4 linked regions of the Alligator mississippiensis genome follow. The protein of the gene in region 4 purifies or fractionates together with the protein of the main gene of each other region. This does not show direct contact. Links are inferred from orthologs where the notes say so. Each region holds a gene or a part of one and is shown on either strand. Other genes may lie near its edges.

Region 1 (7,366 bases), on a different chromosome or scaffold from region 4:
GTGACCCGGCTGACCTGATCAGAACATTAAATGTCCTTTCACAGCATCTGATGAAGTGAGTTTCAGCCCACAAAAGCATGTGCTCTCCATACACACTTTAGGTAGTGTATCACAGGGGTGGGCAAAATGTGGCCCGCGGGCCGGATGTGGCCCGCCAGACCATTGTATCCAGCCCATGGGGCCCCTACAAAATTTAGAAAATCAATATTTATCTGCCCCGGCTGCTTGTCATGCGGCCCTCGATGGCTTGCCAAAACTCAGCAAGCGGCCCTCCACCCAAAAAAATTGCCCGCCCCAGTCTATAAGGTGCAAAGCTACTCTGCCTTATATTTGACTTCAGACCAGCAGAGCTATCTATGTCTCTCTAATCAGAACAGCCAGTCCAACAAGTACCCTTGGAAGCAAAGTAGTTGGAAGAGACTGGCAGCTGGTAGCAGGAAGAGACTCTATCTTTGCTTATGGATCAGGGTATGTCACAACTTCCGCAGCTCACACTGGCTCTGGCCATAGACTTTTTGGCATGTCAAGCAGAAGCTTTGAGTCCAGTAAGGCTTTACTCAGCTGTGGGCTGGGAACAGCTGATAGTGCAAGATGATCAAGTGAATCCTAGGGGGGAAAGTATTTCTCAGCGGCTTTGTCAATGGGGAGTGACTCGCACAAAACATCACATTCTTATTATACACCATGACAAGGGATCCCCACTGACTCCATAAAAAGCAAGCTATTAATTTCCAGAGCTGGGACTCTGCGCATTTTGTGCACAGTTCAACATCACATGCCTTTCAAGTGTTATCCCAGTAACAAGAAAGAGTAAGTACAGCTGAGTGAATCAGTATCATTGAAAAGTTATCTGATTATTGTGCTTGTCACAAAATGTCCTTGAATGGAGCACAGTTTCTTTGGAAGTATTTATCACATTATTTTGACAAACAGTTTTGATTCCATGGCATGTGATACTAAACTGTCCTGGGAGATCACTTGGCCCTTGAAATATGCTCCTTCAGAATTGCTGCCAAGTTGCAATTGGTTAGATAAATCAGGTGGTATTTTATAGGTGTCCTCTGTCTGTTTGATGCATGAGCCCACCATGAGTGCACATTTAAAATTAATTTATTATGAACACACACACACGATTTGGCTTCCAAATCAGCCTTCCACAAGCATTTGTTGCTTTTGGCTGTTGACGGATAGTGAACCCAAAAGAGATGCAAGTGCTGTTGATATTGATTTGTTCCAAAATCCAAATGCATTTCACAGAACTTGTTGAAGAATGTCTCAGGGATGTATGTGGTAGCCATGTTGGTCTGAGACAAAAAGAAATGCAAAGCTCTAAAACTCTTGGTTCAGAGATGATACCTTTTAACTAAGAAATTGCAAAAATATTATCTTTCTTTGTAAGCTTTCGGGCACATGTACCCTTCTTAATTTCTCCTTAGCCTAAAGAAGGTGCATGTACCCGAAAACTTCCAAAGAAAGATATTTTTTTTGCAATTTCTTAGTTGATCTAATAAAAGCTATAAGCTCTGAACTCCAAAGTTCAGGGTTTTGCATTTCGTTGTGAAGAATGTCTTGCATTCAGAAGCTTGTCTAACTATCCCAACTACAGTTGTTCCAATAAAAGATATCAACCTATGAAATTCTCACCTCTCAGAATTTATCATGGTTCATCAGACAAGGTTCTTTGGGTGAATCTGATATCTTTTATTAGGCCAACTTAAATAGTTGGGGGGGGAAAACATTTAAATAAGCTTTTGGGTTTAAAAACCCTTCATCAGGCTGAGGAAGTTTCAGCAGTTGGTGTGTGCTCTTCCTGGATGGCATGAAAAGTAAAGAAGCCAGAGGCTGGTCTGGTCTGCATGCAAGACAGACAGTCAGTGAAGATGTAAATTGAGGAGTCAGTGGGAGAGAGAGAGGCTGGGTTGGGGGGAGAGACCATGCTTCAATATTTGTTCCTCATCCATTTTTGTGTCTTTATTTCATAGAGAAGTAAGGCTGAAACAATGTACCAAAGTATTTTCTTTTGTCTCTTAGGGACAGTATGTGTACAGGCAACCCTCAACTTACAACGTTTCGAGTTACAACGTTTCGCACTTACAACTTTTAGAAATTGACACCCTGTTTCAACTTTCTGACCTCAGTTTCAACTTTACAATGCTTGATCCGATGCGACGCCATGCCAGTGAACAAGTTCAAGACTTCAGGAAAACCTTCAGCCAAGACTCCTGAGAACACTCCAGCTAAGAGCCCTTCAAAAAGTCCAGCAAAGTCACCTCAAAGAAGTCCTTCCGAATCAATATGATTACTATTTACAGTCTAAATACATTAATCTAGCTATATTATGCATCTATAATTGATTGAGTACAAAATTCTCGGTTATTTTTGGTGAAAATAGGGTATTGGGCCTTGGTTCAGGAACCAATCCCCCATTTATAACATTGCATCCTATGGAAAAATCGGTTTCAAGTTACAATGTTTCGACTTAAGACAGGGTTTTCAGGAACCAATTGTGTTGTAAGTCCAAGGACTGCCAGCAGTCCGTTTTAAGCATTACTATCAGCCCCATCTTGAAAACACACAGCGAGTACCAATAAGTATTTCAAATACCTATCCATTGCAAAATATATATTTTTAACTGGCTGCTCTTGTTCTCACTTACAGGACACAGGCCTCCTAATCCAAAGCAGACTGAAATGAAAAACTTCCCTTGGCCTAAATCCAGCATTTTTTACACATCCCAAATCCCCATTGCTAACAATGCAATGGTCTCTTATCTTCAAATACTTAGGCACGAGCAGTTTTGCAGAGCACGTGCTCCCCATTTGCTAACAAAGAACAGCTCCCCCCTTGTCTTCAGAGTGACCATTTGGAGAATGGAAACATAAACTGTTCAGGGCCATTTTCTTCAAAGACCTTTTCAATTACTTGGCAGTTTTTGTGTTGCCGAAAGAAGATGCTTGTATCTGATTTGTGTTTCTGTGATGCTGCATATTAAAGGGTTGGGTTGGCACATGAAAGGATGCTACATTCACTGAAGTTCTGGTGCATTCTCTGTGCAATATGAAAAAAACCTGCTTTTCAAAGCTCTCGTTATGAGCCAATGCAGCATGTCATCTCTAGACAGGCAGTTTAGTACACTCCTGAGGTGGGGAGGAGGGATTGAAACCTGGCAGCCACAGTGAAATTCCCCTTGCCCATCCCCCTCGCAGCCGCATTCCACCCACCAAAACCTTATGAAGGGCTAAATGGCACTGCACGTGTTAGCTGCACAGATCAGTGCCTTATCTTTTGACCCTAAGGCCTGCATTTCATAAGGGGATAATAGAAGTGCAAAAATTCTTGCCGGCGCCGTGACAAGCTAAACTCACTGAATCCTCGCCGCTTAGCACCTAGCTACATGTCTCCAGCACCCCCCTGCCTTTCTTCTCCACAACTGCTTGCCTACGCTTTGTCCTAGCCTCTTCCTTCATCTTTCCTGCAGCCAAAAAAGAGAAGGGAATGGGACTTGTTGCAATTTCCTGATTTCGTCCATGATAGTGTGGACCAAACTGTTGCTTTTCCAGTTTCCTGAGCAAAATGAAAACCCCGAACGACTTCATTTGGGCTTTTCTTCCATCTGAACCAAAGTGTCAGCTTTTGATTTCAGGGTCCTCACCCCAGTTTTTACTACGAGTAACTTTAGGTAAATTTTCTGAATGAAAATCATTCCAAAAGGCAAAATCCAAACAGAGAAACCTTTCCAATTTATTATTATTTGATTGTTATGAATTTCTGCCCGATGCTGGGCTGCATTTGGGGGATAGTTGCAAATCCATCTGGAGGCCCGAAAGGACCTTCCCCAGCAACTTCGTAGTCCCAGAAAGCCAGGCCTGGCTCCAGTCCCGCGGTGGGCTGCCCTGGGGGCTGCTCCTCCGCTTTACCCGGGGCATAACCCTGCTGGCAGCACCCGGCCGCCAACCAGAGGCACCCAAAAGCACCTCTTTTAAAAAGGGGGTTCGGATTTGCAGGCATAGGGCACCCCCGCTCTTTGGGGCGCTGCTAAACCTGAGGGGGCTTTGCTGTGTGCATAGATGTGTGTGTAGGGGTGTGCATGTTTGGGGGGACACAGGGGTTAACCCTTGGCGGCGCGGCCCGCACGCGGCGCGGGGTTTTTCCACGGCGCCTGCACGTCCCGCACGAGCGCAGGGGCGGGGCGGCGCCAGGCCCCGCTGGGCCAATGGGAGGCGGCCGCCGGAGCCGGACGGACCAATGGCGTGGCGGGCCGGGCGGCGCATCTGCATGGGGCGGGTATAGGCGCGCGGGCGGCCGCTCGGCCCACTCTCTGCGAGCTGCCGGCGGAGACGGTCGTGTCGGGTCGTGTCTGGGCGCTGCCACTGCTGCTGCTGGGTCCCGGTGCGTGCGGGCGGGCGGGCGGGCGGGCGGGCCGTGGGGTTGCAGGGAGCGGGGGGCGCTGCGTCTCTCCCCCGCCGCGCCCCGGGCAGCGGGCCGGGCCGGGCCGGGCCGGGCGGGAGCAGGACCAGGACCAGGGCTGTGCGCTGGGCAGGCGGCTTCCCTGCTCCCATCGTCGTCAGCCCCTTCCTCGGCCCTCCTCCTGCTTCCTAGTCCCCATCCTTCCGCTTCTTCCAGTACTTCTTCACCTTCTTCCTCTTCCCTCCTTCCATTTCCTAGTCCCATCCACCCGCCCCCCACCCCTGCATCTGCATCCTCCTCCTATTTCCCCCCTCTGCATCTTCCTCCTCCTCCTTGTTCCTCCTATTTCCCCCCTCTGCATCTTCCTCCTCCTCCTTGTTCCTCCTATTTCCCCCCTCTGCATCTTCCTCCTCCTCCTTGTTCCTCCTATTTCCCCCCTCTGCATCTTCCTCCTCCTCCTTGTTCCTCCTATTTCCCCCCTCTGCACTTTCTACTTCTTTTCCCTCTCTCCATTTCCTTATCCTCCCCCGTGCCCTGAATCCCTCCCTCCGTCCTGGGTTTCACTCCCCTGCCCGTGCAGGCACTGTTGGGTGCAGAGCCAGGGCAAGGGCCTGGTGTTGAAACCGGAGAGCAGAGCAGCCCTAGCAACCCCATTCTGGGCTGCTCCCCTGCCTCGCATACCAGCTCCTCATCTAATCTGGGCAGAGCTAGGGAGTGATTTGCAAGGCCTGCAGGCCCCTGGGTCATGCTGATATCGGCCAGGCCAGGCACGCTGTAGCAGTCAAGCACGTGCTCTTTGCAGTGGGAACTAGACCTCTAGAAACGGCCTCTTATGACTCAGCCGCAGTAATATATGCAGGTTACCTAAGTCCTCCTTTTCCTATGACGTTAGTAGTGCTGAGTAGGAGTGCACCTCCCTGTAGTGAGAACTGAGTCATGCTGTATCGATGGAAGGGAGCAGCTTTCAGGGTGCGTATTTGTGTGCTGTTCTGCAGCCTGCTTCCTCAAAGACTAGATAAAATGCCCCTCTTAATGATTAACGGCCCAAGTGACAGTTTGTCTTGGATACTGCTCAGTCCCCTGGACCTTCTCCTCTCTTGCGACAGTAGCTGCCCTTCAGCCCTGGTTCTCAAATATTGAGTGTATTGCTCGACCAATGTTCTCTGCTAGCGGCTGTCACTGAAATCTGACCATGAAAATAATGAAATGTCCCATTGCTTTTGGAACAGGGTGGGAGGTAATGGCTGTAACCTGATGGGACTCTCCACTGTCTTGATGCACTAGTGAAAAAATGGTGCAAAGTCTCCTTTTGACTGGCATTGGGTTGGTGCAGGTGGTCAGGAGAGGAATTTTAGTCATCCAGACTTTCCGTTAATGGCTACGCTGAGTCACAGGGCAGGGATGCAGGCTTTGAGCTGTGCAGGAAGGAAGCCCTTGTTTCGCTTCCAAAACCACAAATGGAGGCAATGCAGTCCCTGGCCTCCACTTGATTAAAAACATGGACTCCGAACAGTTGGGCATTTCCTGACTTCTGCATTCCCTGCCACACTGGGTGCCAAGCACGGTCCTAAGGGCTGTTGCATGGAAGGCATACAAATGAATGAGCCACGTGCTGTATGTCGAGAGGTGGGATCTGAAGGAGTCCTTGCTAAGGTCATACTCTGACTGCATCTTATCTTGTGGAAGCGATGTGTCAGGACCTCGCCCTGCTGCATTTGCTCATTACCTGGTGTAGGTGAGGTTGCAGACCTCCAGGAAATCCTGTTCAGCACCAAGTGGAAGTTCAAGCAAACTGCTGGTGGCTGTATAACAAAACCTGGGCCCTGCAGAGAGGCAGGACTCTGCCATGGACGTGCCCTTGCGCTTTGGACTGTTTCATCGTCCTCAGCAGCCTGTCATATTGAGCAGCAACGAGTGGCTGTGTCCATCTTAGACCATATTTCCTTACCAGAACAGGGGCGTTTGCATAATGACTTGGCAAGTGTGAGTTAGCCACAGAATCCTTCCCTTTTTTGGCAGTGAAGATGTGGCCTAAAAGTCTCTTCAATCTGTTTAATCCTGAGGTTGAAATTGGCTTAATTTCCCATGCCAGCTGCTTGTGTGATGTACTGTCCCCATACACCAGAATTTGGATGGGACATAAGACATCTGAGAGGCTTGATGCGACAGAATTCGGGATGCTGCAAGTCCCAGCCTAGCGTGTGTTCCCTGCCTGCCTTTTCCTGTCTTCCTAATAGGAGAATTGACCCTGCTCATAGATCAGGAGCAACTTAGTTGCTCAATGTTTCCCTCTTTTTTTGTAACTACCAAGATACAAAGCTGCAGCTGTGCAGACTTTATATTCATGGCTCCATCTCCAAGCACTGAATAGACTCCAGGAACATTTCTGCTTTCCAAATCCTTTTGTAGATGTTGGCTTCTAGAGTCTTTTCTCCCTGGCATGCAACCAGCAACATGAAGTCAGGCAGGCAGGAGCATAGCTGGGTTGAGGTGGCTCTTGTTCTCCTTTCCCCTTCGTGGCTGAGGTCGAGTGAATCGGAGCAGGAGGCACCTGAGCCATGTCGGGTCAGACTATCTGGCAGACGGCTCTGTGCAGTTGTGTAACGCTGCAGCGCTGGAAACTGCATGGCTGCTAAGGAAGGGGAGGGGCTTTGGGGAGGGCATTTTGTCAAGGACGTTGGAGCAATGTGCCTCCTTGTCCGGGACCTTATGAGATGGCCACAGTGAGGAATGCTTAGGAGAAATAGTCTCCTGCTTGTACAAGGGAGAAGTTCACTGCTCCATTTCCTTGTGAACTGACATCTCTCTTGGAAGGTGGGACATCATTTCTTTGATTGCACTGCAGCCCTGAAAATGAAAGCAAGATGCAGCCCATAGGAGAGCCTAATGAGCTCTGCTGTTTAAAAGCAGCCTCAGTTGGATTATAGGGATTTGGGCACAGGGAAAGGAAACGCTACAT
Region 2 (7,643 bases), on a different chromosome or scaffold from region 4:
CTGACTGATCCAATCCCAACCTGGGGGAGGTCTGGACAGTGCCCAGCACTCCCCCCACCCCATTCCAGCCTGGGGTGCCTGGACAGCACGCCCTTGATCCTGGCCTGGGGGGTCTGGACAGCACCTGGTACCCCCTGAGCCCAGCTTGGGGCAATCCAGAGCCCCCTACCCCACCACAGCCCTATACCCCCATCTCGGGGCACGGCCCCCAATCATGCACACACAGGTTGAGCTGAACAGAGCCATTTATTCCAGCAAAGTGGGGGTGCAGGAGGCGGGGCCTCAGCAGCAGGGGCGGGGCCAGAGCTTGGGGGTGGAGCCTGTGCACCCCCTACAGGCCCAAATCAGGAGCTGCAGCAGCAAGATGTGCCCCTACCCCTTGTCTCAATGGGGCTCTTGGGTCAAAACTGGGAGTATGGGGTGGGGGGCCCAGACGCCTGGTCCCTCACAGCTGGGAGAGGAGGTTGCTAGCCAGGCTGCAGGTGAGTCCGGTGCCGTCGGCTTCCACGTTGAGGACTTTCACCACCCCGTCTTCCACCACCATCGAGAATCTATGGGGATATCGGGGGTCAGGGCTGAGGGGGGTTCCCCAGACCCTTCCCCAACCCCCCAAAGCACCCCCACCTCCCAAAGATCCCCTAAACCTTCAACAACCCCCTTATCCCCCCCTGCTATTGGGAACCCCCCACAAGGACCCTCAAAACTTGGGGACCCCAAAGCAGTTAAGGGGACCCTACAGACCTTGGGGTCCCACCCTGTGTTCTCCTATCACCCCCCTTCCCAGCTGCCACCAGCGGCCATGCTGCATGCTGGGAAGGGGGGCTGCAGGCACATGTATAAGGGGGACTTGTTTTGGGGGCACCTCACCTTTTGAGGCGGTCATTCCCAAAAAGCTGGCGCAGCGGGTCCTGGTTCAACAGCAGGTCAGTGGCCTGGGAGCAGGAAAGAGGGGGGCTCAGCAGGGGAAGGGAGGAACCCAATCCTGGCCTGATGCCCCCCTCCCAGGTGCCTCTCACTCCCACACCACAGCCCCCTGCCGGTGTCCCTTACTCCTGGCCCACAGCCCCTGCCAACCCCGCTCAGCCAGTACCCCTCATTCCTGACCTGCAGCCCTCTGCTCCCCTGCCACCCCCAACTCTGCCAGTGCACCTCACTCCAACCCACACCCCCCTTACCTTCCCAAAGGCCCCGGTGGGGTCAGCCAGCATCCGCACCTGGGGGGGGAGGGGAAAGAGGATTAGTGTGGTGGGGGCAGAAACAGTCCCCACATGGTTACACAACCCCTTGTTACGCAAACCAGGGCTGCCAAGAATGGGGGTGGCCCAGGAAGTTGAGTCAACTGCCCCAGGCAGGGGTGGGAGGGGCAGTGGAATTGGGCAAGGGCAGGGAAAAATCCTCTCTCTGCCCCTGCCACTGGCTTGCCACCACCACACTCCCCTGCCCCAGCCCCCAGTCAGCTGCCCCGTCCCTGCTCCACACAACCCCCCATCCTGCCCCCCATGCCCTCCTCACCCCACGGACTCCAACCCCCCTCCCCTCCAAGGCCACCCCCACCCCTGCCTCAGTTCCCTCACCTCCAAAACACCGCCCACCCCTAATGCTGCCCCCCCCCTCAGCCCTCCATCATCCCCTGAGGCCCCCTCACCTTGCCCTGGGTGCCAAGAGCTTTGCCCCACTCGCTGACCACAAAGACATCGTTGACGGCCAGGCAGGCGACCAGGTCCACGCCTCGGCCCTGCAGCTCCTTGGCCTCTGCCACAAACCCTGGCAAGTGTGTCTGGGGTGGGGGGGCACACATGGGGGCATCAGGGACCCCCCAGAGACAGTGCCCACCAGCCCCAGTCCTGACCCCACGGGGCCCAGGGATATAAGGGGAAGCCTATCCCAGCCCCCACAACACTTTGCAAGCTTGACTTGGTGTGTTGGTGGGTGGGGGGAGCAAAGGACGTTACAGGGGATTTCCAGGGGGCAGTGGAAAATAGAGGGAGCTGCGGGGGGCAGGGAAGGGCATGGGGGAACCTAAGAGGGACCAGGAAGGTATTGGGTGGGGTCTGGGGGGTGTTGGGGGGTATGGGGGAGTAACCAAGGCTGTAGAGGGGGACTAGGGCAGATCAGCGCTGTGGGGGGTCCAGTGGGGCTCTGACCTTGCTGCAGCCAGGGGTGAAGGCGCCGGGCACCCCAAAGAGGACACCCTTCTTGCCCTGGAAGAGCGTGGCCAGGTTCACCTTGGTGTCAGGGTCCCCCTCGAACACCTCCACGCTGGGCAGGCGGTCTCCTACCTGGGGGGGAAGGGGGAGGTATGGGGGGGTCCCAGCACAGCCAGGACCCCCCCCCAACAGCTCTGAAATCCACTATGGGAATCAGGGGGGGCTGGGGCTGCCAAGGGGAAGCAGTCACATCCCCCCCCGCCCCCCGCACCGGGCAGCACCTCAGCCGCTCCCTGGAGTTTCCCAGTGAATTGCACAACGCCCCCGCCCCGCCCCGCCCTGCCCAGCATTGCCAGGAACACCCCCCCCCCACACAGAGACAGAGCCCTGCCCCCAGCACAGTCTGTGCCCCAGGGCCCCCCTCCACATCCCTTCCCCCCCTCCAGCTCCCATGCCAGGAGACCCTCCAGTGCCCACATGCCTCCGACCTCCACTCTGTGCAGCTGTGGGGCCTCAAAAGACCCCAGATCCCCCCATAGCCCCCCACCCCATCTATGCCCCCCCTTCCCCCATGGCCTGACCAGACCCCGCCTGGTTGTGCCCAGCCCCCCCTCGCCCCTGGATGCCGCAGGACCTGGGGGGGGTCGGTCACTGACCCCCCCCACCCACCATCTTGCCCCCCCAACTCCAGGGACCCGGGGGAGGGAGGGGGCTGCACCGGGGGGCCATGCACGGAACAGGGGGCCCGGCTGCCCTCACCTGGATGGGCGCCATGGCAGCTCCTCGCGCTCCTCCAGCCGGTCAGTTTGGGCCGGACCTGGACCTGGGCCTGGGCCTGGGGGGGGCCCCGCCTGCGGCAACCCCCCGCCCCCCGCTGCCATGACAACGCCCTGAGTGACAACTCCCACGGAGAGAGATCACTTCACGCCCCCCACCCCCCCGGTCAAGGCGCAGCCAGTCGCGGCTGATTTGCATCTCATTTGCATGCGAGGGGCTACTCAATCACAGCTGATCGGCACGCGGCGGGGGGGCAGGGAGGAGGGTTTCAATCACAGCTGATTGATATAACTGGCTCGCGCGTGAGGAAATGAGGGGACGATATTTCACCACGGCTGGTTTGCATCTCATTTGCATATGGTGCAAAGGGCGGGAGGGGTGGACTTTCAACCCGCCCACACACGTTTTGATTAATTTGCATACGATTTACATATCGTTTGCATATCTCTCCCTCCCCCCCGCCCCGCTAGAGTATTCGCCTACTCTAACGGGAAGACGCCGGAACCAGAGCGTGCCGGAAGCTTCTTTCTTGGGATTTGGGTTTCCCAGCCGGACCCTCCCGAATAGCACACCACGGCCGGAAGTGGTGTCTAACGGACACACAAGACGCCTGGACCGGCAGTCACCCGGCTTCCGGCGGGAGCGGAGTCGGCGGCGCTGCGGGAGGATGAAGCTCCTGACGCACAACCTGCTAACGTCGCACGTGCGCGGCTTGCGGCCCGGCGGCGGCTACCCGCTGGGCATCCAGGTGCCGTCACCCGCCCCTTCCCGCCTCCCACGTGGCCACGGACGCTCCTTCCCTCCACCTGGACCCCCGTAGCCCCGCCCCCACGTGCTCACTGCGAGGCCTCCCGTGATCTAGCACTACCCCCACGTGCCCCGCCCCCGCCCCCGCCCCACACGTGGCCGGCCCCGTCCTCTTCTGCGCGGGGGCACTTCCCGCGAAGTGTACGCCCCCGTAGCCCCGCCCCCCAGGCGCCCATGGGGATCCCCAAGCCCCTCCCTCGTGTCAAGGCCCCGCCCCCGCATGGCCTATTGCCGCCCCCAGCCCGAATGACCCCGTCCCCTTTTAGGCCACGGAAGTGAAGCTGAGCCCCGTGGACTTCAACGCGCAGTTCGTGGCGCGGATGGTGCCCAAGGTGCAGTGGGCGGCGCTGCTGCAGGCGGCCCAGAGCGTGAGTGAGGGGCGGGGCTTAAGGTGGGAGGGGCTGGGACCAGGCAATGAAGGGGACATAGGGCAGTGGGGTGGGCGTGGTTACTCAGGGCTGGCCCCTCCCCCTGCGGGTGACTCCTCCCCCCTCTCCCCCCAGCTGGGGCATGGCTCTGACCTGCCCCCCGAGCCCGCCCCCGGCTACGAGAGCGACGAGGACTTCCTGCGGCGTCTGCACCACGTCCTGCTGGAGGTGAGGTCCCCGATGCCCCCGCCACCCTTCCCCGCACATAGGTGCCCCCATTTGCCCACCCCATGCAGACTCTCGCATGGACCCTGGAAACCCCCAAGACATCCCCCACTGGTCCCTAAGCTGCCCCAGACCACCCATGGGCCCCCACACCACCTCTATGGCACCACGGCCCTCAGCACCCTCCCCTGACTTCCCGTGCCCTCTCCCCCACCACCACAGACTGTCACAGGGACACTTGGAAACCCCTGAGCACCCCCATGGACTCCTAATGCCCCCTCCTGCACCCCACACACAGGGCCCCCCCATGGGCCCCTATACCCTCCCCCACCCCCTACAGACCGCTAGACTCCCCCAGACACCCCCTCCCCCAGGGGTGCCTGAGCACCCTGCCTCCCCCTTACCCCTGGGGTTGACAGCCCCTCCCAGATCCCCCTCCTCAGCTTGCTGCGGGAACAGGGGTAACCCCCGCCAACACCAGGGGTGTCACCCCGAAATCCTTCCCCCACACATGTAACCCATCTCCCCCAGACTGCTGTGGATGCCGAGGGGGGGGGGGGGGGGAAGCTGGTCTCCTGCCTGGGAAGACTCCAGCCCTGCCTGACCTCTCCCTTACCCACAGGTGGAGGTGGTGGAAGGCATCCTGCGCTGCCCAGACTCGGGGCACGAGTTCCCCATCACCAAGGGGATCCCTAACATGCTGCTGGCTGAGGAGGAGACCTGAAGGACTGGGGCGGGGGCAAGGGGGGGCAGGACGGGGTGGGTTTGTGTGGGGGTTGGGCTGGACTATGTCTGTTTGCATCAATAAAGCTCGGTTGGGTTGAAGTGGAGAGCTGTGATGTACTGTCCCTGCCTCCACTTCCAACCCGGAGCCCCCCCAATGAAGACACAGCGACCAGGGGTGTCCGAGATCTCCACGCTTTATTGGGGCGGGGGGGGGGGGAGCCCGCCACCGCCCCCGAGGTATTTAGCATATGTACATCTCCATAAATTAACCCAGGCCCCACCCCCAAGCCCTGGTGGGAGGGGACATGGGGATGACCCCCTCAGCCCAGATGGGGCTATTGCTATGTACAGAAGGGTTATTGCTTTGGGGGGGGGGGTCCCTGAGACCCTCCCCAAGCTGGGGATAGGGGGGCAGTCCTGGGGTCCCCAGGGGAGATCAGCCCTATCTCCCCCCTGCCAACAGTGCCCAGGGCTACTTATTGCTTTAAGGAGGGGGACCCCCATCCAGTGCTGAGCTCCCTTCAGGCCCCCCTGAACTGGTGGGGGGGGGGGGAATCAGGGGTCTATGGCTTCCAGGGGTTTGGGACTTGGCTTCCCAGCCCTGCCCCCAACAGAATCTGTCCTTCTGTCCAGCCCCCCAGGGACACAAGGACCCGTGGACCATGCACCCACATCTGCCTCCACCTGGGATGGGTGGCCTGGCCATGGGTCAGCCCTAAGGCTGTCTTTCTGTCTTGCCCCCGGATCCCTCTGTCAGTCCAGTCTGTCTGTGCACCCTGGTCTGGTCCAGTCCAACTGTCTTGCCTCTGCTCCCACCCAGTTGCCCGTGTGTCCATCCACTATCCCCCACTTTCCACCCCAGTCTGTCCGTCCATCACCCCTACCCCTGCGCATCCGTGTCTGGCCTTCAATCCATCTGAATGTCCAGCTCCTGTCCAATGGATCTGTGCGCCTCACCCCCCCACCCCAATCCCCGTCTGTCCAGTCCATCTGCCTCCGTGGGGCTGTCTGTGTGTCTGGCCACACCCCCCTGCCCCCCCCCATCTGTCCCATCTGTCTGCCCCCAGATCCATTGGGGGTCCCTGAGGAGGAGGGGAAGGGCACGTGGGTCTGCCTGGCCCCATCCATCAGTCCATCATGGCTTCCAGCATCTCAAGAAAGAGCTTGTGGGGGGGACCACGGGCACCAAGCTGCAGCCGCTGCAGGTGCCGCAGGGCCCGGGCAGCTGTCTGCCGCAGCAGGGGCAGCGTCAGCAGCAAGCGCCCGGCACGGCCCGCCCCCCCCAGTGCCGCCAATGCTTCCAGCAGCCCGTCCCGCAGCCGCTGCACGCCCGCCCCATCTTCCAGGTGCACCGAGTCTGTGCACAGAGGGCAGAAGTCAGGGGGCCTGTTCCCCTGCAGCCCCACGGTGCCCCCTCGTTCCTGACCCACAGTCCCCATGCCCCAGGGGTGCTCTGCAAGCACCTCCCAGCTCTGCCAGTGCCCCTCATTCCTAACCCACGGCCCGTGCCTGTGGCGCCCCTCACTCCTGACCTGCAGCCCCTTGTCCCCCACAACTCACCAGCATTAGCCAGCGCCAGGGCCTTGAGCAAGACGAATTCCTCACGCTGCAGCCTCAGGGCCCGGTACCGTGCCAACAGCTGGGCCAGGGCAGCGCCCAACTCGGCCAACCCGGCCGCCCGTGCCCCCGCCCCATCCAGCGCCAGGTCCTGGGCGAAGACCAGCGGGGGAGGGTCGGGCCCAGCTCCCCCGGGCAACGAGCGCCAGGCCACACCCAGTACCAGCACCTCCAGCCAGGCTGCCTGCAGCAGACTCATCTGGTCTGGGAGGGAGAGCCCTGCAAAGCCTGGAGGGCATGGGGGGCAGCATTAGGGGATGGTGCGGGTTGGGAGTGAGGGGCAGGGGAGGGGGGCAGGGGTCAGGTCTCACCGGGGATGTTCTTGGCCCAGCTGATGATGACCACGATCTCGCGATCTGCCAGGTCGCACAGGGCCGTGGCCACGCGTGGGGGCCCCTCAGGCAGTGCTGGGTCAGGCATGGCCAGGAGGGGCTCGGGCTCAGCCGCCAGCAGGTGGGACACCAGAGTGGGAAGCGGGGCTGGGGGGGGGCAAGAGGGGTCAGGGTGACCGCTGACCCCTACCCCCCCAGCCCTGCTGGTACCCCTCACTCCCAACCTGCAGCCCCCCCCAGACCCGTGCACACTCACTGGACTTCTTGCTGGCTGCCATGATGACAGGGGGGGCAGGAGGACTGAGGTAGGGGGTCCCGTCAGCTTCTGAACAGCGCTTGTATTTCTGCCGCCCCCCCCGGACCCGGTCCAGCCGCACTCCTGGGGGGAGAACAAGGGGGTCAGGCGGTGGCCTGGACCCCCGCACTGGAGCTGCCAGTGTCCTCACTGGGGGAGCCACAGCTCCTGCTCCCCCAGCCCCCCACACCTGACCCACCACCCCTGCCGGTGCCCCTCACCCCCATCCCGCAGCCCCTACCTTCCCGGAGCATGCCAACGCGCAGGCACTTGGTGAAGCGACAGGCCTGACAGGCCTTGCGGCGCCGCTTGGTGATCTCGCAGGCGCTGCTGGCCGGGCAGCTGTACT
Region 3 (7,133 bases), about 47 Mb from region 4:
ACAGGAAAGGAAGAAAGCTTGAGCTATGGTCAGACTCACTCCCAGTGTTCACCTTCTAGGGCAGCTCTAGCCCCCTGCCCATGAAGATGTTAAAAGATAGTTTGTTTTCACCTCGCCCCAACCCTGCAAAAAAAAAAAAAAAAAATCACTCACCTCATCAGACTCTCCAAAAACATGCCTTCTCTCTGAGTGGCCAAGGATAACCCAGGTAGCTCCAACATCTTTAATCATGGCTGGGCTGAATGGGAAGAAAGGAGAAACATTAGTTTTGGGGTCCGTGTTGAAATGGGTACCTGTTGCAATAAGTTTCAGTTTCTGTTCCACCAGCTCCATCTGCGACTGCAGGCTCACCTAATCTCTCCTGTGAATGCTCCCTTTGGCACCTTGTAACAGTTCTGTGCTGCAACCCCGATCTTTGCATCTAGTTTCTGACGGGTGAAGTCAAGGTAGATGGAAGGGGCTCCACAAACCACCTCTGAAAGATAAAAGATGGAGTAAACCTCATGGGGAGCAGGCAGGGTGTCAGATCTGACCCACCCTCCAGTTGTAGAACTTCCCTTGCCCCCAGGTGCTCACCCCTACTCCAACCCATCTCTCAGCTCTGTTAAGCTGTAGCAACCCATCACAAGCCAGCTTTGTTGAATTTCAAGGACCCACTAGAGCAGGAGGGTTATTGCTGATGCAGTTTGATTTCCTTGCTCACAGAACTTAGGGGGAACACTGTCATAGGAAACCACTTCTCACATCTCTCAACAACAGGATGATGCAATGTTTCAGGTTTCCAAATCAGAGCAAAGGACCCCTGGGAACTGTCCAATTGAAAGTTGTTCTTTTCTTTCTGCAGATAGTTTAGATGAATTGAGAGTAAGGAGGGGAGCACTGACTTGCACAGGGGATTATAAGTGTAACTGGGAGCCAGGAAGGCCAAGATAAAGGGGGAACAGACACAGTGACAGGAAAAAGGTGGTCAGGAACCATTACCCAACACTGAGGGGACTGGGAATCTTAAGGAATCATTACTCCATGAAAGGGAGCAGAAGCCCCACTGTTCAGGTCCCTGAAGAGTAGAGCTACAAGTCCTGAACTACATGTATCCCAGTGAAGCTTCAATTATCCCTACAGCTACACAGTACAGCTTGTCCCACTACAGTAACTAAAGAGCTGTCCGGCTGATGCTTCTCGGACACTGAACTTGGGGAAACCACCACTGCAGCACTCTCTTGTAGACAGTGTGTTCACCTTCCCTGCACACGAGTGGAGGCCAGAAAAGGTGGAGACAGAAGGGATGCTGCTGCCAAGTGAAGGAAAACATAAAAATTAGATGCAAAACAGGGAGGGGCAGGGGGTTCTTCCACTGGGCAGGTCTGATCCTGTCCACTGAACACACAGGCTTCAATCACTACCAAGGCAAGCATGGAGCTTAGAGTCTGGGTGCAGGAGCCATGTTATAACACTGCCTATCTGCATACATATGGAGCTCTGCCATCTAGTCTGTGTACCAGGATGAGACAGGATGCCTACCCCAAACAGGGACGTTATAGTCCCAGCCAGCCACCCACTTTGAAGGCAGCAGCAAGGAAGCCTACAGTACTCAGCACTGCCCTCTCCAAAAAAGGAGGGGGTTGTGATAGTTTCAGGGAGAGTACCTGCAACTAATAGCCCCAGGGGCTGCCCCAGCTCCCCTCCCCTCTGGCCTTTAGAAGGGGGAGAGGGGGGAGGGAATCTGGTTTCCAACACCAAGTACAGTAGCCGATATTTTTAGCCCAGTCACCATTGGTTATATTTAGGCTTCCATCTCCTCACAGCCCTTTGACATTTCTTCAGGGTGCCTCCCGCAGAATAACAGCTCCCCCAGCCCCATCTAGCCCTTTCTGAGGAGGCAGGAGGCAGACATCCAAAGAGAAGGAAGATTCCATGAGTCCTGCTCTTCCCCTGCTGGCCTGGAGCCAAGATGTCCCAAGGACACCAAGAGGAGGAGCAGGAGCCCAGCTAAAGTTGTGAACACAGGATATCAAGCAACCCTCAGGGAGATGGGGGCAGAAGCCCTGTGTAAGGGAGCACAAAGCCTGGGCTGGGAGGGAGGACCAGGCCAGATATGTGCACAAAGCTGAAACAACATAACTAAGCCTGGTTTTAACTGTACTGGTTTAACTCAATTAGCATTGGAACCAAAGCAATGTCAAGTCCTAGAGCAGTGATCCCTGGCCAGGTTCCCACAGCACCCTGGGGTGCCTTGAAGTAGGTTCAGGGTGCCGTGCCATGCTCTAGAGCATGCCAATGTGACTCCCAATGATTTCAAGTAGGAAGCCGTGGTGCTAAACCGATTTTGCCCTGTGGGTTTTGGAGTCTTCTGCCACCAGACGTGCCCTGCTCCTCTTCCACTGGGAAACATGGAAGAGGCCAAGAGCTGGAATTTCCTCAGGCCTGCCTGCAGCCCAGCAAGGGCAGCCTGGAGTCTCAGAGGCTTGAGAGCTGCTGCCCTAAAGGGAAGGGAAGCGAGGCCAGCCCCAGCCCCAGCCCAGGAGAGCAGGGACCTGGGCGAGCCACGTGCCAACTTAGGAAGTCCTGTCCCGCAGAGAGCCAGGGCGAGGCAGAGGAGCGGGTAGCTCCAGCCCAACCCTACCTACCCCCGCCCAGCCGCCCCACGATGGGGCAGCGCCAGCCCGTGTGAGCCGGACGGGCGCCGCCACAGCATCCCCGGGGCCGGGAGGAAGCAGCAGCCGGCGGCGGCGTCACGTGGGCCGAGGCGAGCCAGGGCGTACGTGCGGCGCGGCACAGCGCGGAGACCCGCCCCGCGAGTGGCTGCAGGGCCGGGATGCCGCGCTGCGCGGCTCTCACCGGTCTCGGCGGGGATCTTGCCGCCGTTGAGGGTGTGGATGAGCTCGCCCAGGCTCTTCTTGTCGCCGTTCATCTTCCAGTTCCCCCCCACGAAGAACTTCCTGGGCGCCATAGCTGGAGCGGAGCAAGTAGGACGACGGCTCAGGACGAGGCAAGGTCAAAAGCTCCGCGCAGTCGCCACTGCCGCGCTTTTATAGGCCGGCTGGGCAGCCCCGCCCCGCGTTCCATACGCCCCGCCCCCGGGGCGTTTCCCAGGGGGAGAGAGCGGCCCCTGTCCGCGCTGGAAGACCCCGCGCATCCTGTTCCCTCCCGCTGCCCCGCGCTTCCTTGCTTTGGGGGACACGAGGTTCCTGCACCGCCCTTGTGCGTGTGCGCTCACCTGCCTCTGCCTGGGTCTCAGTGACGAATGATTGCCTGCCCCACCTCACAGGTTGTCATAGCCCAAGAAGCCCTGCTGGGCAATAGGCAGGCTACCAGGACATGGGGGAGAGGGTGCAGTTAGCCCACGAAGCACGGGGGGCTGAGGGGGCCCTTCAAAAGACACTTGTGGCACCCCTAGGTGCCCAGCACCCTGGTCGAGTATCACTAGGCAGTGCAAATCTGTGTTGTCTTCTGCTCACGTTATACACAGAGCTTTTTTTTTTTTTTGGGGGGGGGGGGCTGTGTTGGTTTTTTCAGCTACCTGATTTTACTGCCTAACTCCTGGAGACATTCAGGAGACCCAGGACTGCAGACCACCTGGGGTGGAGCACGCCTGCCTGCTGTGGAAGCTGGAAGCAGCAAGGGGGTGGTCAGGGGCTGGAACAAGGAGTCTCTCCAGAAGTGGAGGGACCCAAGGCAGTGGGGCAGGGTGCTTCTTCAGCAGGGCGGCCAGGAGGCATAGGGGAGCTTTCACTAGGAGGCTTGTCAGGTGCATGGAACCTTACCTGTGTCCAGCAGTGGCCATGGTCTACGTCAAGGGCTTCAAACATGCAGCACGTGGGCCAGATCTAGCTTAGAGCATCTCTATCCAGCCTGGTGGGCAACAGGCAGGCTACCAGAAGTTGGGGGCATGTAGCCTGCTAGAGAACGCAGAGCCCTCTAGCTGTGCTGGCCCATAGCCCTCAACAGCAAGGTTAGTGCACCACATTTGCCTCTGGACACACCTACAACTCCAGACATCTGCCAGCTCCTCAACAATTTGGTGAGGCAGGTACACATGGGTCTGAGGCTGCTCCTGGACCCTGGCCCTGGGCCCCCTCTGCATGATTGCTGTTGAAGTAGTTGAGGTCAGCAATGTGGCCAGAGCTGAAGCATCCTGGGGGCTGGGTAGCCAACACTACCAACAGGATGCAGGAGCATGTCCTTGGCCTCTCTCTGGCCTCAACACAGTCCTCCATTAAGAGTCCCCCTCAACCCCCAGCCTAGTACTGCTCCAGGATCCCAGGGCCCCTTATCTATGGTCCAGGTTTCAATTGGCTGCAAAGTAATGCAGCAGAAGCAGTAGCACTTGCCAATGCAGCTGAATCCTGCTAGTTGTACTTTTTGCATAATTACATTTATTTTTCTATTTGGTCTTGGAAAACCACTAGATGCCCAGAGGAACAGGACAGATTTGCTCCGGGGTATAAATGGCCACTGTGCATTTCCAGAGATGACTAGGATCTCTGTGGAGGAGCATGCTTAGTGGCTGTGGGTACAAGTTACCTGGCTGATGTGTACTGCAGTAGTAAACAGCCAAGTAAGTGCCATTCAATTCTGAAAAAAGTGAATTAGTGCTGCACTTAAGACAGATACCAGAAAAACAGCCTGTAAGTGGCACTTAAGCACCCACATCATGAAATACGATTCTGCCCAAAGCCTCTTCACTGGCCCCCGACTCCTGTTTTAAAAACCACCCTCTGATCAGCCAACAAGTCTAATAGAAGTCAGCCTTTAACTGTGCTTGGCAGTTCCAGATGTAGCAGAGAAAGTGGGGCTTGTGCCAGACTCCACAGTGAAACTTTAGAGGACCTATTATGGAATGAGTGGCCTACACAGGGTGACCTGTCTCTTCCTTTTCATCAGTAGTATCAAAATGCCTTTGTTAAAAAAAACTTTGTGTCCCCTACTCAAAGCTTGATTACAAACCAATGGCCAGCTCCTTTGCAAACAAACTTGATAAATGGATATAATACAATTAACTAATTGCCCATCAAGAATGACCGGGAATGAGGGAAGCATGCCGCCCCCCCTGTCCAAGCCTCCGGGCCTGTTTCCACCCTACTTCCCCTTCAGGTCCAGGCCCATCTCCCCCCCACCCCCCTGGCCTATGTCCACCTGCCTCCCCTAAAAGGTTCCGAAAAATGTATAGATGATATTGTTATATCCTCCAGGCCCATCTTCTCATCTTATACCCCATGTCAATCCACTCACCTTTCTTTAGAGCAAACAGGTAGTTGCTGTCACACTAGACATCACTTACTGTATTGTTCTGTCATTCACAGGTTTCTACTAGGGCCTGATGCTTTCACCCCCTCCTCCAAACCCTGACCATTCAGTTACAAACAGACATCACCCTTGTCCCAAGAGAAAATATTCCCCCCCCCGACAAAATGTGAGCATTCAGATGTCACAGGACAAAGCCCCCAAAAGGTTCTTAGGATAAGAGGTGCTGACAGTTTGTCCTGTGCTATCACAAAGGATGTCTGAATGGTTGTCCTGTGACAGCAGTGGGATCTGCTACTGCTGATGTAGTTTAGAGACTACCATGCACCTATACCACACATGACCAGGCCTGAGGTGCCTGTTTCTGCTACTCAAGCATATCCTCTACCAGCCTGGATCGCCTAACAGGCTGTTACATTCCCCGCTTTCCCCCTGCCATCTGGATTCTCTAGGCTGGGGTGGCCAACCTGTGTCAAGCATGTCACAAGCAGCACAGAGGGTTCTTGTGGTGCACAGCAGATAACAGACTGGGCAGGGAGCAGAGGACATCCAATCAGACCACAGAATAGCAACCAAAAGCAGCAGATTGGGTATGGGAAGGGGATGGGAGTGGCACTTGGGGAGGGTGTGGAGCTCATCTTGTGCCATCCCTGCCAAAAAGGTTGGCTCCAGGAACACTGGACTTTCCTCAGCCAGAGGCTTCACAACCTCTGTGGACATAATGATTCCCACTAGTTTTTAAAAGCCATGACCTGGGCCTGTCTTACTCTTAACATACTACAAAGCCCCAGAGATGTTTTCATCAGTAGGCATACACACTTGGGAGTTGCTTGGTTTTTTTCCCCCAAGGTTGTCATCATCACTGTAACATCATCTACAAAAGCAACTGCTTTAGGAAAAATGGACTCAGGGTGCAGGTCACAGAACATGCTCTCTGCCTCGATGCCCTCCCTGTCATATGGCAAAAAAGTACAATACCAGGCTAAGATACACGCCTGTCTCACCTTTGGTCACAAAAGAATTGGGTTTGTGCCATCAATCTGTAATTCAGTAGCTTACTTGTGTCAGCACAAAGTTTGAAGAGAAAGTGGCATCTTGTATTTCTTTTATACCCCTTACAAACAGCCATGAGCCACTCCATCAAAAGGGCTTACCTCTGGCCTAATAAACAAATACATCCTTTCCTTTGGCCTCTTGCTCTGCTTTAAACACCCATCTCAAAGCTCAGAGCTGACAGTTTCAGCAGCATCTTCCTTTAACCATGCTTTACCAAGCCAAGTGCATCAAGGAACAATGCACCTCCTCCCCCCCCAATAGTGTCTGCAGCAACACCTATGAAAATGATCTTAACATCTGTTTGTTAGTGAAAATATCTATCCCCCTTTTGTAAACAGAATCAACATTCCTGTTGTATCATTTCTACATCTTTCTGTGAATCTTTGACTCTTGTGCTTTTACACAAGCTAGAGAACTATTCCTGCACTGCACTTGGCATACTTATAAGGTCTGTTTTAAAGACCCCCCCTCCCCAAACAATGGTCAGATACACCTGTGGGCTCTGTTGTGTCCTGCATGAGTCCCTTTCTTTATACCAGTGATTCTCAAACCAGGGTGCCATGGCACCCAGAGGTGCCCCAAGATCCTTTCAAGGGTGCCATAAGATGCTGTATAATATTAGCACTGTTTGGTGTGCAAACATGTTCACAAGATAAATTCAGAGATTTCAAATCGGAATCCATAGTGTTAAAAACATTCTGGCCTGCTATAGTGTTTCTGAGTTCTTTGCAACAGAATTGCTCTGGTATTTTTCTGTAGTCAAAAAAAGTGTGTTAAAGAGCTGGCATTTTCTGAGGGGGGCCTCAAATGTAATATAACAGGTGCATAGACTC
Region 4 (7,654 bases):
AGGATCTGGAACCAGCTTCCAAGAGAAGTGGTGCTGGCTCCTACCCTGGGCGTCTTTAAGAGGAGGCTGGATGAACACCTTGCTGGGGTCATTTGACCCCAGTACTTTTTCCTGCCACGGCAGGGGGTCGGACTTGATTATCTGCTCAAGTCCCTTCCAACCCTACCAACTACGAAACTATGCTGTGCTGCACAAGCTTCTTCACACTGCCCTAGATCACAATTGAAAAAGCCAAGCTCCACCAAGAGTCAAATCTTAACTTAAGTTTTGAAAGGAGCCATTTAGAGTTTATCCAAGAAATAGGTTCTCATTTGTGTTTAGCTTAACTTGCTGGCAGGTGCCACAGCCATAGTATTAAACAGCCTCTTATGGCCCACGCATCAGGTTTACAACTGCATGCTGGAATAACAGTAGCTCAGACATGTTGCCATCTATGCCATCACTTCCTGCTGGTAAACAGCAAGACAATGCTGAGATCATTTCAACTCCTTTCTTTGTTTTTACATACATAGGTTTTATGCATGAAAGGAATGTGATTGAAGTGAGAAGCATTACCACAGCTGTCTATTAACCAGTGTCCAAAAAATAAAAGTGGCTGCATCAAATACAATAAGCTAGTAGCCAAACTGCATTATGATAGTGCTACATTGAGACCCTGGATGAAAACTGTACCATTAGTGTTGTCTCCAAATTCATGAACATGGAAGCCATGTTTTCCATCACTCAAACCTTGAATGCTTCCTGACAGCTTTACTGGTCCACTATCCTTCAAAACAAAAAGAAGAAAATAAAATTTCTAGCTTGTTATTAACTCATTACAGAATTGTAAATAAGCATACAAAGGAGTAAAGCTTTGATTGAGACTTCCTGATTGAGAATGCATTCTTCAGTCCTGTGGTTTGTATAGGACTGCAGCTAATGCAGTATATGGTTGTGTGCTGTCACACCCCCAAGGCAGACTCATTCCATCTAAACCAGTTTTCAAGCTTTTTTTAGACTCCTTGGAAAACTTCTTGTTTTTTTGTTGGGTTTTTTTTTTTTTTTGGGGGGGGGGGGGGGGGGGAGGTTACTACAGAAAAAAAAAAAAAATTCTTGTGGTCTTCCCATGTTCTTTGCACCAGAACAGGTCCAAATGTTTAATATTATAACCCAGAGATTTCAAATGGGAATTTATCATGCACAGCATGTCTGCATACCCAGCAGTGCTAGCTTCCAAAAGGATCAAGTCACCCTAGGGTGCCACAGCATCCTGGTCGAGAATCACTGGTCTGAACACATGACTCTAGCATCAAGATTCAGACTGCAAGTGTGCACACAGCTGCCTTTTGACCCATTTACTTCCATAACCTCAGAGGGTTCCCCCCACCCAAATTTTCTTCTATAGAACTACTGCAGTGTCACAGAATCATAGCAAATTTGGGTTGGAAAGGACTTAAGGAGGTCACGTAGTCCAACCCCCTGCTCAAAACAGGACCATTCCCAACTAGATCCCAGCCAAAGCTTTGTCCACTCGGGACTTAAAAACCTCCAAGAATGTAGAGTCTACAACCTTTGGGTAACCTGTTCCACTGCTTCACTATCCTCCTGGTGAGAAACTTAAGGTTAGATACAAGGAACACCCCTAACCCCCTCACCATTTTCACTGCCCTCCGCTGGACTGTCTCCAATTTATCCACATCGTTTCTGTAGTGGGGGCTCCAAAACTGGACACAGTATTCCAGATGTAGCCTCACCGGTGCCAAACAGAGGGGAACAGGGTTCTTCAGGCAAGTCTGATATCTTTATTCTATTTGAGTTAGTCTAATAAAGGGAGAATAGTCACGTCCCTCAATCTGCTGGCAATGCTCCTACTAATACAGCCTAGTATACCATTAGCCTTCTCTGCAACAAGGTCAGTGTTGCCTCATTCAGCTTATTATCCACTCCAACTCCTAGGTCCTCTTCTAGGAAGCTGCAGCTTAGCTAGTCAGCCCTCATCTTTCACAGCAACACTAAGACCTTTATCAAAGGCCACACCTTTGTACACCATGTGTATACTCTTCAAGATACATCACAAGTTAAACACACTAATGACAAACTCATGTTTGTACTTCCCTTCCGCACTCTCCTAGATTTAACCCAACAAGGATCTTAGTTAAGAGCCCTTAAAAACCCATTTTGGCCTTATCTATCCAAAACCACATGCAGCAGCACCTTACTGCAGCATTCCCCCACACCCCTTACGCACAGCTCACTGCTTTCAAGCCGGGGCAGAGGAGGACGGCTCCACACCCATGACTAGGCACATCAGGCACTGACAGGCTGCTCAGACCACCTGCTGCTACAGCTCCGAGACCACAATTTTCCACACCCTGGCTTCAGGCATTGTGCTAGTCTCTAAACTGAAGCAAGGGTGTAGGGGAGCAGTGCCCACCCTGCCACCCAGCCCAGCAGGCTTAGAATTGTGGCAACAGGGGAGCAGAGTTGGCACTGCTGCCACTTACTGTAGGCTGGCTGGCACCACTGCCTAGGTTGGATCTGGCTCACAGCTATTAGCATTAGTGGCAGCAGCATCAGATTGATAGCAATACTAACCATATTACTTTTTAATCAATAACAATATAATATCAAAGCAAGTGACTGCGGGGCCAGCCCCAGCACCCAGCTCTTTCCTGGCTCCAGCTGCTGCCTCTTCTCCCCTACCACCCCTCACCAGGCAGAGCGGGGATCCCAGGACCCCGGCCCGGGTTAAATCGCGAGAAACGCGGACACACGTGCCCACCCCCTCGCATGACTCAGCACTTTCCAGCCTGACCTATCACCTCCCGCGCAGCTTACGTAACACCCGCCGTCAGCCCCGGGGTGGGAGCGCGGGGTCCAGCCCTTGCCTTCTGCTCGAAATTGACGACGCCGGACACGGGCCCGTCCCCGCGCAGCACACACACAGCCTTCAGCGCCGCCATGTTCCCCCGCGCCAAGCAGCTTAACTACACTGCGAAGAAACGCGCACTGGCGTGTTCCTGCCCCTGCGCCACTCCTTTTATATCCGCCCGGCACCCTCCAGCCAATCACGGTGCTGCTCCTCCCCGCTCGCACCGCCTCCTCTATCCCACCCCTCCCTCGCAGCCAATCAGGAAACAGCAGCCGCGCCCACCCGCCAATCAAAAGGCGGAGCCCTGCTGGCGCACCAATCGGCGGCCGCAACGCTGCTCCTGCTCTGAGGTGCTGGGGAAAGACCTCGTTCTGGATCTTGGGAGGGGGCGAGGTCCTTCCGCCCTTAGCTCCTTCCCTCCGCCTTTTTCGCCCTGGGCGCAGCAGTGCGCATGCGTGAGCATAGCGTGCTGCGTGCGCGTCCCAGGGCTGCAAAAGTACCTGCCTTTGTCTCCTCAGCCCCGAGGGGGATGGTTGCTCATAGCTAGACATGCTCTTGCCACCTTTAGTTCACCCCTGCCAGGTCTGACTAAGCACAGCTCTGCAGGCTTCATCTTGGGCGTTAGGGCTGGGGCAGCCATCCCAAGCTGCAGCACTCCGTGGCTATGACTGTTACCTCTGTTCAAATATGCCACAGATGCTGTGCCTACTCTAACGAACCTGGGCCCACCTCACCTCTCAGGCAACCAGACAGTAGTGAGTAAAGGCGAGTAAGAATTTGCTGGATGGAGGCTGAGGATTATGCAACATGGTTACCGCTGCTCATGTACACAGCAATGCAGCATGCCAGGCACAGGTGTCAAATGCTATTTAAGCCCCAATTCACAGTGCCTATCTGCAGCGACTGTTTGAGCTTCAAATCAGGGAGGCAGAAACAGGAGCAGGATGCCTGAAACCCCAGCTGCTTTTTACTCCAAATGTAACAGCACTGGCTGGGCATTTTCACACGTGCTCCCAACGGGGTGCTGGGTGCTTTTAATGAGCAAGCTGTGCTAATTAAAGATGCCCACGTGCTGCATATATCAGAGGCATAGGATATCCCTGTGCTGAGAAAAACGACAGGGTGCTTTGAACTAAAGCATATTGAACGTGTTCAAAGAGCACTGCTGCCATTTTCTCAGCACAAAGGTACGCTGCGCCGCTGATACACATGACGTACAACGCTGCCAGAACTCATCAATTTACGTGCTCCGGCAGACTCGGTTAATAGAGTCTGCTTCAACGTGCTGTTGCAGCATGCTTCCCGCGCATAAGCGCCCTAGAAGACTGGATTTAGACCATTCAGAACTAAAAGCTGTCCTCCAAACCTCCTTGGTAGTGCTAGTAGTCTCCATTATGCAGGCCCAAGTCTCCTTGAAAAGAGGCTGTTCTGAGCAGGGGCTTTCTGTAATAATATCACTTCACTCGGCTAGAGGAGGACTCAGGAATCTCTTTTTTGTGATGAAGGGCTGTGCTTGTGCTCACAGTTCCTCCACCAGTTGTCAGAGCTTTGTAGCTGATCTTTCTGAAGTTTCTGTAAAGGAAATGACATGTTTCATAACACAAGCAAAAAGCTTAATCTCACAGTCATGGGTTTTTTTAAAATATACTTAATTGCTGTAACTTTCTTCCTTTCATAGCCTGTAGCAATGGGGCTAGGTTGAAATTATCCCATGTTCACATGAGGTGAGATGATAAAGCATCATGTTTATTGGCACCTGCACAATTTGAACCTCGTAGTCAGATACAGACGCTAATTACACAAAGTCAGGCCAGAGATCTAGCTGATTACTTCTCATTCTTCTCTGCTCATCTTCTGGCTTCACTTCAAGTGAGGGTGTGTCCAGCTCTTATAGACGCTACTTCTTAGAGCAACCCTTCTCCATGGCAGATTCATCATTATTCATAGATTCATAGATGCTAGGGTCAGAAGGGACCTCAATAGATCATCGAGTCCGACCCCCTGCATAGGCAGGAAAGAGTGCTGGGTTTAGATGACCCCAGCTAGATGCCTATTTAACCTCCTCTTGAAGACCCCCAGGGTAGGGGAGAACACCACCTCCCTTGGGAGCCCATTCCAGATTTTGGCCACTCTAACTGTGAAGAAGTTCCTCCTAATGTCCAGTCTAAATCTGCTCTCTGCTAGCTTATGGCCATTTTTTCTTGTAACCCCCAGGGGCGCCTTGGTGAGTAAAACCTCACCAATTCCCTTCTGTGCCCCCATGATGAATTTATAGGCAGCCACAAGGTCGCCTCTCAACCTTCTCTTGCGGAGGCTGAAGAGGCCCAGGTTCTCTAGTCTCTCCTCGTAGGGCTTGGCCTGCAAGCCCGTAACCACATGAATGGCCCTTCTCTGGATCCTCTCCAGGTTATCCACATCCCTCTTGAAGTGCGGTGCCCAAAATTGCACGCAGTATTCCAACTGCGGTCTGACCAGTGCCTGATAGAGGGGAAGTATCATCTCCTTGGTTCTGTTCATCATGCATCTGCTGATGCACGATAAAGTGCCATTAGCTTTCCTGATGGCTTCTCGTCACACTGACAACTCATGTTCATCTTGGAGTCCACTAGGACTCCAAGATCCCTTTCCGCTTCCATGCCACCAAGCAGGTCATTTCCTAGGCAGTAGGTATGCTGGACATTTTTCATATTGTAAAATTAAACTTAAAATCTCACTCCAAATACCTCCAAAATCTTTTGTCTTCTTAAAATTTTTGTCAAAAAATAGAGAGAAGAGACATCTATCTCCCAGCCAGTCCACCTGGTGGAAGGGCAAACTATAGCACAGGTTGAGTTTGAAGGAGAAAAAGAAAAGGGAATTTTGTATTGGATTACTATAGTCAAAAATTTTAAAGATTAGAAAGGATAGAAAAACTAGGGTCTGAATCTACAATCTCCTGTCAGCGGGCATTTAGGATACCCAGTGTGTACTCAGAATCTCACAGGAAGCAGGGTCTCACAGTAGAGTTGATGATTAGAGGAGACTGAACTTTTTCCCATAGAAAAATTGTTTTATCAAAACTTGAATGATTTGCAGAAAAGTATAGGATCTCAGGGCCAGCATAGACTTTCTTTCAAAGAACTATCCCAGAAGGGATGGGTAATCGTCATGTGAAACAGTAGAGGCCCAGGTTCAACTGCCTAGTCTTGTTGATTTAACAGAGGCACTTGAACCTGAGTTCTGCAACCAAGGCAAGTGCTGTAACCAGTGGCTCACCCCAGTTAAAACCCCCAGTTACAACACTCAGCTAACATGTGAGACACTGTCTGATTCAGAGCAAGGAGCTGAACTTGAGTTTCCTTCATTTCAGGAAGTGCTGCAATGTGGGACTCACCTGCTAAAAAATGTTTCAGTTTCATTACACATCAGAATGAAAACAACATTTCAAAACGTTTATATTTTTTGTGAAATGGAATTGTTTTCTGACTGGCCCTTGCAAACCTTGTAAAAATTAGAAAAAATGGGGTTTTTTGAAAGCATAATAGAAAGCAGACTGTAGAATAGAAACAAGAATACCAGCGCACTTGCAGCTGTGTGTGACACTAGAACAGCAACAATAGCATCTGATTTCCCATTGCCCTGCTTTGTGTCTACACGTGCATTTAATGCTATTTAGACTTAGTGCATGGTAATTTACTGCATAATAAACCAGCCCTGGGAAGGCATCTACACATGCACCCTGTTGGGAGTAGATTTGCTCCTTATAAGATTAAGCAGATCCAGGCCTGCTCCTGCCCTATTCTAACCTCCTCCAGTAGCCAGGGGGAGCTGCAGGCTCCCGATCTAGCTGCCCAGGTGCCAGGGGTCTCAGACCGGTGGGGGTAGGCTCAGCCTGGCAGAGTTCTTCATGGCAGGCAGTCTCAGCCTGGCCAGGGATGCTCTTCTGGGAGCCTGTGATGAGTACACCATGGACGCTCCCCACCCTCCCCCTGGCAGCGGCAGACAGGGCCCCATGTTCGCAAGGCTCCCATGGACCACCTCCTCCCCAACCCCCTGCAAGAGAGCACCTGGGAGGTTGCCTGCAGCCCTCAGGCCTACAGCGCACCCCCAAGACCACGTGCATCCTGTATAGTTTTCAATCAACAATCTTTATTTCTCTCTACCACAACACACTCCTTCCCACCCTCCCTCCCCAACAACAGCTCCCACCCAACACCCACCATCAATAAAACACCTACATGGCAGGCAGGTGAGTGGTGGGCAGCAGCCCAGATGGGCAGCCTGGCTGGGAGGGGAGCTGGCTCAGGAGCAGGGTGGGGGGCCCTGTCCACTGCAGGCACCACTGGACCTCCTCCCAGGCCCACTGTGGGGCTTGGCATGTGACTGCAGCTGGCTGCCAGGGAGCAGGTCTGACTGGAGCAAGGGTCGGGGCTGGGGTCAGGGCCAGCAGCTGGGCAGTGGGTGGCTACCAGGAAGCAAGCAAAGCCGGAGCTGGCGGCTGGGCAGCGAGTGGTGCAAAGGTGGCTGCCAGGGCCAAGATGGTGTCAGGCACCTGACGGTCCTCCTTTGTGACCTCCACTGCCCAGGCCACCATGGTGGCCTGCTCTCCTGAACCTCCATCATCCTCTTGAGGAGGACAGTGTCCCACTCCTCAAGGGCATGGAGCCTGTCCTGGAAGGACAGTCCTCCCAGTCAGTCTCCTGCTCATGCGCAACAGCCTGTGGGACTGCTGGAGACTACATGTGCCTGCACCACAGAAGCATGGTGTCCAGGGGCCAGGGAGCAGCTGGCACAAGCCCAGGGGTCAGGCTGGGGCTCTGAAGC

The links.
Region 1: the proteins of SOD1 (region 4) and ENO1 fractionate together in Homo sapiens (co-fractionation; 3 studies listed by BioGRID, with this or other methods). This does not show direct contact. The link is inferred for Alligator mississippiensis from reciprocal best matches to the Homo sapiens genes SOD1 and ENO1.
Region 2: the proteins of SOD1 (region 4) and PRDX5 fractionate together in Homo sapiens (co-fractionation; 3 studies listed by BioGRID and IntAct, with this or other methods). This does not show direct contact. The link is inferred for Alligator mississippiensis from reciprocal best matches to the Homo sapiens genes SOD1 and PRDX5.
Region 3: the proteins of SOD1 (region 4) and TPI1 purify together in Homo sapiens (affinity purification with mass spectrometry; 3 studies listed by BioGRID, with this or other methods). This does not show direct contact. The link is inferred for Alligator mississippiensis from reciprocal best matches to the Homo sapiens genes SOD1 and TPI1.

The regions. Positions count from the first base shown.
Region 1 is NC_081836.1:10,361,256-10,368,621, reverse strand, and holds the start of ENO1 (enolase 1, (alpha)), read left to right. Parts: upstream 1-4,350; 5' UTR 4,351-4,389; intron 4,390-7,366. UniProt on the Homo sapiens protein: Glycolytic enzyme the catalyzes the conversion of 2-phosphoglycerate to phosphoenolpyruvate. In addition to glycolysis, involved in various processes such as growth control, hypoxia tolerance and allergic responses.
Region 2 is NC_081838.1:4,440,017-4,447,659, reverse strand, and holds PRDX5 (peroxiredoxin-5, mitochondrial), read right to left. Parts: upstream 3,015-7,643; 5' UTR 2,922-3,014; coding exon 2,907-2,921; intron 2,280-2,906; coding exon 2,145-2,279; intron 1,778-2,144; coding exon 1,646-1,777; intron 1,215-1,645; coding exon 1,176-1,214; intron 933-1,175; coding exon 868-932; intron 552-867; coding exon 446-551; 3' UTR 228-445; downstream 1-227. Other genes in the region: TRMT112 (multifunctional methyltransferase subunit TRM112-like protein), read left to right, coding at 3,592-3,672, 3,998-4,099, 4,235-4,327, 4,947-5,048; ESRRA (steroid hormone receptor ERR1), read right to left, coding at 6,178-6,407, 6,611-6,895, 6,979-7,146, 7,256-7,378, 7,536-7,643. UniProt on the Homo sapiens protein: Thiol-specific peroxidase that catalyzes the reduction of hydrogen peroxide and organic hydroperoxides to water and alcohols, respectively.
Region 3 is NC_081824.1:244,003,909-244,011,041, reverse strand, and holds the start of TPI1 (triosephosphate isomerase), read right to left. Parts: upstream 3,011-7,133; 5' UTR 2,951-3,010; coding exon 2,839-2,950; intron 476-2,838; coding exon 352-475; intron 239-351; coding exon 154-238; intron 1-153. UniProt on the Homo sapiens protein: Triosephosphate isomerase is an extremely efficient metabolic enzyme that catalyzes the interconversion between dihydroxyacetone phosphate (DHAP) and D-glyceraldehyde-3-phosphate (G3P) in glycolysis and gluconeogenesis.
Region 4 is NC_081824.1:290,747,606-290,755,259, reverse strand, and holds the start of SOD1 (superoxide dismutase [Cu-Zn]), read right to left. Parts: upstream 3,001-7,654; 5' UTR 2,943-3,000; coding exon 2,868-2,942; intron 767-2,867; coding exon 673-766; intron 1-672. UniProt on the Homo sapiens protein: Destroys radicals which are normally produced within the cells and which are toxic to biological systems.